Linked DNA regions of Diceros bicornis minor. The protein of the gene in region 1 purifies or fractionates together with the protein of each later gene. This does not show direct contact. Links are inferred from orthologs where the notes say so. Each region holds a gene or a part of one and is shown on either strand. Other genes may lie near its edges. The genes, in order: GLMN and CUL9.

Region 1 (3,915 bases):
ATATATTACTTAATCATCCTCATAGACTATTCCTATTCCAGAAACCCTTTGTGACAGGATATAAATCTTGCCTTTTTAGGAGAAGCCAAGAGACAGCACAGGACAACTTTTTGCTGAAAATATGGACATGATGTAAACAAACAACAGAAAAGGTTTCTTGGCGTCTCTGGCATACAAAGAAAAGTAGAAAGTATCTGGAGAGGTGGAAAAGGAGTACCTGGTTAATTCAGGACTGTTTATTCCCATAGACACCTTTCTACAGACACTCATACCTTCACCAGTGATCTACAAGTGTCTGATTTGGTTTTCTTAAAGCACGGAGTACGGGGATGTAACAGTCTGTGTGAGAACTATAGTGCTTCCCAGATATTCCCCTTCTCTCTCATAAGAATTTTCTCAAGGGTAGCACCCATTATTGTTTTTAAAAATGGTTCAAATAATATAAGATAAACAGATAAGAGAATGCAGTTGTCCAAGTAGTTCTCATACCTTTTGGAGGCATCCTCTTGTTGCAAGGCACTTGTCTGTTTAGTACCTACGATTAAAAAAACCCCAAAATCAGTAGGTCAAGTATACACAAACACACTAGGTTACAGGACAGATTCCTGCCCAAATATACTGCAGACCATTTTTTCTTCTTTTCCACACATTTCATTTCCAATCCTGTGTGTAAATCAAATGAAATGGGAAGGGATCCAATTTGTTTTTGTAAATTAATTAGTTATTCCCGAATTTTTGGTTAAAATGTACCTCTTTCGGGATTGAATTTTGTCTTGAAACACAGTTGCATAGTTAGGCACTCCTGCAAATCTGAGATCTGGCTCCTTTTACGGGCAACCTCTCTCCATCCCCCAAATGTTCGCTCCCAGGGAAAGGGAGGAGTATGACACCTCAGAGAACCGGAGCACCAGATCAGCAGGACATCTGGAAGGAGGACCAGTGCTAGGTTCAAGGCCAGCTGCGCACTGCCCGCTGACGCTGCCATGGTCACTTGCTCACTCTGGCGACTCCAGGCTCCCAGGATCTCTACTGCCCTTTCCCTCAGAGACTGGAGCACAGCCCTTCTGGGGAAAATCGTGGAATACTAGTGGAAAGAGGTGGAGGCGGCCGGAGGTCTTCCCCAGAACGCGCGAGGACGGCGGTGAGAAGCTCTCGGCCTTCTCTGCCCCGAAGACTACCTCCCCCGGGGCAGCCTTTCGGGAGCGCCCCGCGCGCCTGGTCTGGAACTCTGTCGGGGCTCAGTTCTCAGGGTCCAAACGTGGGAAGAGGCCCTTCTTCCTACCTGCGGCGTTTCGGGAGGCGCGGGGACCCCGGGCCTTGGGGCGGGCCGAGGGCAGCCTGGCCGGCTCAGCCATGGGACGCGTCCTCACAGGGTCGGGCCCCGCCTCGGCGTCTTCTCCCGAGGCTCCGCCTCCCTCGCGCAGCGCGGGGCGGGGCCCGGAGAGCGCCCTGCGCGGCCCCCGGAGGTGGAGGAGGCGGCTGAGAGGGGCGGGAGGGGTGGCCGGTAAGTGGGCGCTCCGGGAGTGCTGGGGGCTCGGGGCTTGCCGGGGGCCGTCAGCCGCGCAGGACTCGGGGCCGCGGACCAACTAGGCCCTGCGAGGTGGTGGGGCCCGAACGTCAAGGCGAGCAGGAATCGGGAGAAATGGCTTCCCTTGGATGCCGCCCGCACGCGCGCTGGGGTTTCATCCGCCCTGGAGCGCGCAGCCGTGAGGACCCCGCCGACCCGCGACCCCACTGTGGGCCTGGGGCTCGGCCTTCCTGCTGGGAGAAACGATGACCGGTGGCAACGGAACGGTGTTGTCCTGAGGGCCGCCGGTTGCCTCGTCTGCGTGCGATATAGTGATTTCACTGACTGGATTGATTATTTTGGGGAGTGCATCTCTTATAGAGAAATGTCTCGGTCACGCTTGGGGTGGAGGGCGTCTGAACTTGCACCCTCTCTGGGTGAGTTTTGTTGCACTGGCGGGACATTAAAACATAAAAAATTCCCTACTGATTTCAGGCCCACCTTTCGGAGATTTTTTCGGAAAAGAAATACTTTTCCTTTTTAAAGTCATTTATATAGTGCATATTTGTGTTGCTTCTTGAGAGTGTCTAGAGGATTTTTTTTTAAGTCTATCTTTCAAAACTATGCTCTAGAAAAGTTAAAAGATGCAACAGGAATTTTTTTTAAAATACATTTTTATTTTCTTGGGTTAACACTAACTTGCAGTAAAAGCATTTCAGCTTTACAAGTTTCCATTTTCTTTATTGTATTTACTAATAATTCATAAGAATGAAACATAACTTATTAATACTTCAGTGTAATATCACTTATAGTTAACAGTGTGTTTTATATTAGTACATTTCAGCCTCAAACTAGGAAAAACAGGAATGGCTGTGGAGGAACTTCAATCTATAATAAAGAGATGTGTAAGTAATTTTTTCTTTTTGTAAAGTTAAAATACCTTTCAAAATATGGGAAGGGTACAGATTATTTTTATTAACATTTGCAATCACTCAAATCGTTAATCTTCTTTAATCCTTGCTTCTTTTGACCTGTGAAAAAATAGCATGAGGGCAGGAAGGCAGATTGGATTATTTCTCTAAGTGACATACTTGTCTAAATAACCTTTTAAATTTTTGATGCTGATCCTTACCATAGATTTTTTTGGTACAATGGATTTCAAGATCATTCATTAAAATATTTATTAGGCTAATTCTAATTTTCATACATATGCTTGTGTGCAACTTATCTAGAATTTAAACAGATTTCCTTTTTTCAGAGAGTTAAATAAATCAGGTAGTTATTGGATTTGTATTTACCTCAACATGTTTGATTTTTGTTTATTTTGTTTTTGTTAGCAAATCCTAGATGAGCAAGACTTTAAAGAAGAAGATTTTGGCCTATTTCAGTTAGCAGGCCAAAGATGCTTAGATGAAGGGCACATAGACCAGCTATTAGAAATTATTCAAAGTGAAAAGAATAAGGTAAGTACAATCTTTGTGTGTACTTTTCAGTCTTTACTAGGAGAGAATAGCCGCATGATACTATTATTCATCCATTCATTTTTTTCATCAAACATTTAAGAATCAACTTAAATTTCCACAGTAGGAAACTGTGGGAAACAAAAAAGGAATTAGGACTATTCATATGCTTTCAGGTGCTTGCACTCTGGTGGAAGAGATGAACATGTAAACAGCTAGCAAGAAGGAGGCAGAACAAACAGATGCTTTACGTCTGTTAACTCATTTAGCCTCTCCAGAGTAAGTGCTATAGTTGAAATATAAGTAAAGTGCTTTAGAAGAAGAGGGATTACTTCTGGTTTGGGGATCAAAAGTGGCATTTGAATCATTAATTTACATTGAGAAATATAATTATCAGGCAGGCTAGATACTCATTTTTGGTGATCAGCACATTCTCTTCCTCCAGCCAGATGAATATAGAAAACCAAATATTAAGTCTTAGGTGCCTAGAATCAGAATATGGGGAGAGCTGGATGACCTTACTAGCCATTATCGTCCAGCTATGATTGTCTGAGAAGTCATTCTCCACAATGGGAAAGGATCTTTTTGGGATCAGGAACAGCTAGGACACAGTGTTGGCAATACTGCCAAATTTTGTGTCTTTGGACTCCCCTCCTTATACAAGGGAAGATCATCTTCTTTCCAGGAACATACTCTTTCTTCATTTATAGTATTATTTATTTATACAGGAGTTTTTTTTGTTGATACCACAATCTGGTCATGCTGGCCTGTGATTATATCTAGGGCTCCTTGATTGTATTTGGGAGGTTCCTAAAACTTTTGAATCACATATTGTTGTAGAATCTTTTAGTCAATAGTTCAAAGAGCTTATCTCTTTTTTATTTAAAAAAGATTTTAAAAATTAAAAAAATTTTTGAAAAAATAGAACATTTTATTTAATACATTTGT
Region 2 (3,915 bases), on another chromosome or scaffold:
CTTTCTGGGCTTTTTCCTGGAGATAGCTGGGGCTTATGGGTGGCTTACAAGGCTGGGGCATGGCAAATCAGGGGCCAGAGAGTGGGGGAACTTGGGACTCAGGTCTGTAACTGCCCAGCCCCTTTTCTCTGCTCTCCTTTCACTCCACCATCACTCACTCACTCCCCACTCCCCCACCAGGGGAGGAGACCTTGATGAATTCCTCCTCTCCTTCCCACAAAAGACAGACCCAGTGAGTGAATCAGGCAAAGTGCTTATAATGTGTGTTGTGTGAGCGTGGCCTTGGGAGAACATGCGTGCGTCAGGGATGAGGTGGCATTTCTATGTGCAGTGACCCTTGGTGTTTCCCTTCCTTGATGGCTCTGGGGGGTGTGTATGTGCCTGAGTGAATGTGTGTGTGTGAATGTGGAGTGTGTATGTCAGTGGTTTCTACTTCCCCTGGGATGCTGACCCAGGAATAGTGGACATGGTCACAGTCCTATGTACAGAGCTTTCTTTTGTATTAAAAAAAATACTCTTTCAATAAATGTATCATTTTTGTGCACAGACAGTGGGGTCTTTGCCTCCGTTTTTCCATGCAGGGAGGGAGGGAGGGAGGTGTGAACACGAATCAAACCCCAAAAGTTGCTGCTCCGAGAAGGAAGCCTGGCTGCTTGATGAAAACATCCGGCAATGCTAAGGGGAGCTTTGGGCTGTTGAACTCCGTACGATTTAATTTAACGAACATTTCGGAGGCTGGGCCTTTATCTCGGTGAAGGGCTTTGCCGGCTGTTAGGCCAACACAGACATGAACAATTTTAATTAATAGGAAAAGTGACTCAACCAAAGCATTGCCAAGGGGTTTGGGAAACTCATGTCCACGTTACCCAGTAAAAACTCAAAGAGCAGCCCTAGCGGGGGAGTGTGGGTCACTAGGTTTCAGGGGGATGAAGAAGGTTGATTCCGTGAAGGGGAACGGGGCTTCACAATTGATTGCGGATGGAAACGGCTCTCCACTCCTGCAGCGAGGAGCAACGGGACCGCGATCCCGGCTCCGCCTGCAGCGCGCCTCCACGCAGCAGCCCGCGGGCACTACGCATGTGCCACTCGCGCGCTGCTCCGCCCGCTCGGCTGTGGGCCGCGGTGGGACCCGTAGACGCCCGGCCGCGCGCGCTCTCCTGCGTGACCCGGAAGGGAGCTGCTGAGGAGGCGGGGCCAGGACGGCGGCATCGGCCCCTGGGCCCCAGCGAGGGCCGAGCTGGGCAGTGGGAGGTGAGACAAGAGTCCTGCGCCGCCCCGGTCCCCGTCCCATCCCTGCTTGGTCCCTTACCCACTCTCTGTCGGGCTGACGACGGGACCCAGGTCTCACTCTCTTAGGTTCGCTCGGTCCTGTCAGCCTCCTCGGACCGCGCCCTCCTCCCCATCCTCACCCCGCCCCCCCAAGCCCGTTCCCACCGCTGTCCTGGCCTCCGCCGCCGCCCCTGCTGGTCTGCAGGCTTGGGCTTGACCTTGCTACCAGCCTACCTGCTGTGTCATCCTCGCGTCCAGATCTCTCTACACCTCAGTTTATTGTCCCAGGCCCATGACAGTTCCCCACCTCCTCTCCTCCAATCTTAGGCCTATCTGATTGTTTTACCCCTGTATCCTGCTCATCAGTGGTCCATCGCATCACTGGTTCCCTCCCAGTCTTGCCCTCCATGATAACTGGACCCCTACCCCCATCACCTCCTATGTTTCCCCTCCTCTTCACGCCTCTCTTCTATTCTCATCTTCTCTCCCTGACCTCAACAGGACCCCTGCTCTGATCACCATTTCTTCATCTGAGTTTACCTTCCATTCTTACTCTCACCACTCCCGGTTGCCCCCACACTGCTTCATATCACACACATCTTTTCCTGACGACTAGCATAGCCATCACCCTACTCCCGTTTACAGTCTTCTTTTGGCTTAATATCTTTCCATTTATCTGAGGACTGCTCCTACCTTCTTCATTTAAGAATAGTAATATTAGGGCCGGCGCCACGGCTTAGCGGTTAAGTGCGCGCACTCTGCTACTGGCGGCCCAGGTTCGGATCCCGGGCGTGCACCGATGCACCGCTTCTCTGGCGATGCTGAGGCCGCGTCCCACATACAGCAACTAGAAGGATGTGCAGCTACGACATAGAACTATCTACTGGGGCTTTGGGGAGAAAAAGGGAAAAAAGGGGGGAGGATTGGCAATAAGTGTTAGCTCAGGGGCGGTCTTCCTCAGCAAAAAGAGGAGGATTGGCATGGATGTTAGCTCAGGGCTGATCTTCCTCACAAAACAACAACAAAAAAGAATAGTAATATTAGATTGTGTTTACGGAGCACTCAATATGTGTTGGAAGCTGTTCTAAATGTTTCACGTATGTGATCTTACTACAACTTCATGAGATGGGTATGAATAGTATTACCATGTTGCAGAGGAGGAAACTGAGGTTCAGAGACTAAGTAACTTGTACAAAACTACAAACATAGTAAGTGAAAGAGCCAGAATTCAGAATCACATTCATCTAACTTTGTAATCCATACTATTTGCTTCCCTATTACCTCTACCATCTCCTGACCTCATTCCCTACTCTTTAACTCCATGATTACCACCTCCATCTATATCTACCTGACTTAGACCCTCACTATGCGTACAGTGTAAGTCCAGGGTAGGACCTGTCTTTTTTTCCCATAATGTTATCTGGCCCCCTGGCTCCCTCTCTCTTTCACAGTATTCTCATACACTTTTCCCATCCAGCCATCTGGATGTGGGGGCCCACAGCCCAGCCTCCTTTCGTCTGTTTTCTCTATATCTGCCATGGCCCAGCCCTTTGTAGCCACATACCAGCTTTACTCTCATTTATACTCCCTGTCCTGCCTCTCCCCTCCCCTGACTTTCCTAACTTGTTCTGGTGCCACTGTCGCAGATGCTTCTGTCCTTCCTGCTCGCCCATATAACTCTTCCCTAAGTCCTGAACTGTATCCCTCAGCCACCCTGCTATTCTGCCCAGACTGTCCTGCTTAACTGTTGCTCTTTTTGTTACCTTGCCTGTTGTTCTTCTCATCCTCTCTCTTGTAACCTCTTTCATTTCCTGAATCCCTTCATTTCATCCTCTTGCTGTTTTCACTCCGTGCTCCTCTTATAAATTCCAAAGTATGTTCAAGTTATTTATTCCATCCTATTCTTGGCCTTTTCTATTTGGCCCCTGAATTCAACCATGCAGCCTACCAATCACCACCCAGCCTCTCTGTGTCTCCAGATTCCACCCCTTCCGTGTAGTCTTTTCCCTTTCCCATACTGCCTCTATCTTTCTCTTTGTGTGTCTCAGGAGGTCAAGATGGTGGGAGAACGGCGCACTGGGGACCTCATGGTGCCCCTGGGGCCCTGGCTGCAGGCATATCCTGAAGAACTTATTCGACAGCGTCCTGGGCATGATGGACGTCCTGAGTACCTGATCCGATGGAGTGTCCTGAAGTGTGGGGAAGTGGGCAGAATGGGTGTGGAAGAGGGTAAGGCAGAGCACATCCTCATGTGGCTGTCAGCTCCTGAGGTCTACGCCAACTGCCCCATGCTGTTAGGTGAGCGGGCACTATCTAAGGGACCTCAGCATGAACCAGCTGGGGGTTCAGGAAGCTTTCCTCAAGATCCAGGAGGCTTGGATGACGTGGCAATGGGAGAGATGGAGGCTGATGTGCGGGCGCTGGTGCGCAGGGCTGCCAGGCAGCTGGCAGAAGGCGGGACCTCGAGCGTCACAGCCACTGTGCTCCACACCATCCACGTACTCAGTGCCTACGCCAGCATCGGGCCCCTCACTGGGGTCTTCAGGGAGACAGGAGCCCTGGACCTGCTCATGCACATGTTGTGCAACCCTGAGCCTCAGATCCGTCGGAGTGCGGGCAAGATGCTGCAGGCTCTGGCAGCCCACG

Evidence for each region.
Region 2: the proteins of GLMN (region 1) and CUL9 purify together in Homo sapiens (affinity purification with mass spectrometry; 3 studies listed by BioGRID and IntAct, counting the BioPlex papers as one, with this or other methods). This does not show direct contact. The link is inferred for Diceros bicornis minor from reciprocal best matches to the Homo sapiens genes GLMN and CUL9.

What each region holds. Positions count from the first base shown.
Region 1 is NC_080743.1:28,576,598-28,580,512, reverse strand, and holds the start of GLMN (glomulin), read left to right. Parts: upstream 1-1,602; 5' UTR 1,603-1,892; coding exon 1,893-1,944; intron 1,945-2,341; coding exon 2,342-2,412; intron 2,413-2,844; coding exon 2,845-2,970; intron 2,971-3,915. Other genes in the region: putative RNA polymerase II subunit B1 CTD phosphatase RPAP2, read right to left, coding at 490-535, 751-985.
Region 2 is NC_080753.1:22,535,181-22,539,095, reverse strand, and holds the start of CUL9 (cullin-9), read left to right. Parts: upstream 1-1,193; 5' UTR 1,194-1,251; intron 1,252-3,317; 5' UTR 3,318-3,326; coding exon 3,327-3,915. UniProt on the Homo sapiens protein: Core component of a Cul9-RING ubiquitin-protein ligase complex composed of CUL9 and RBX1. The CUL9-RBX1 complex mediates ubiquitination and subsequent degradation of BIRC5 and is required to maintain microtubule dynamics and genome integrity.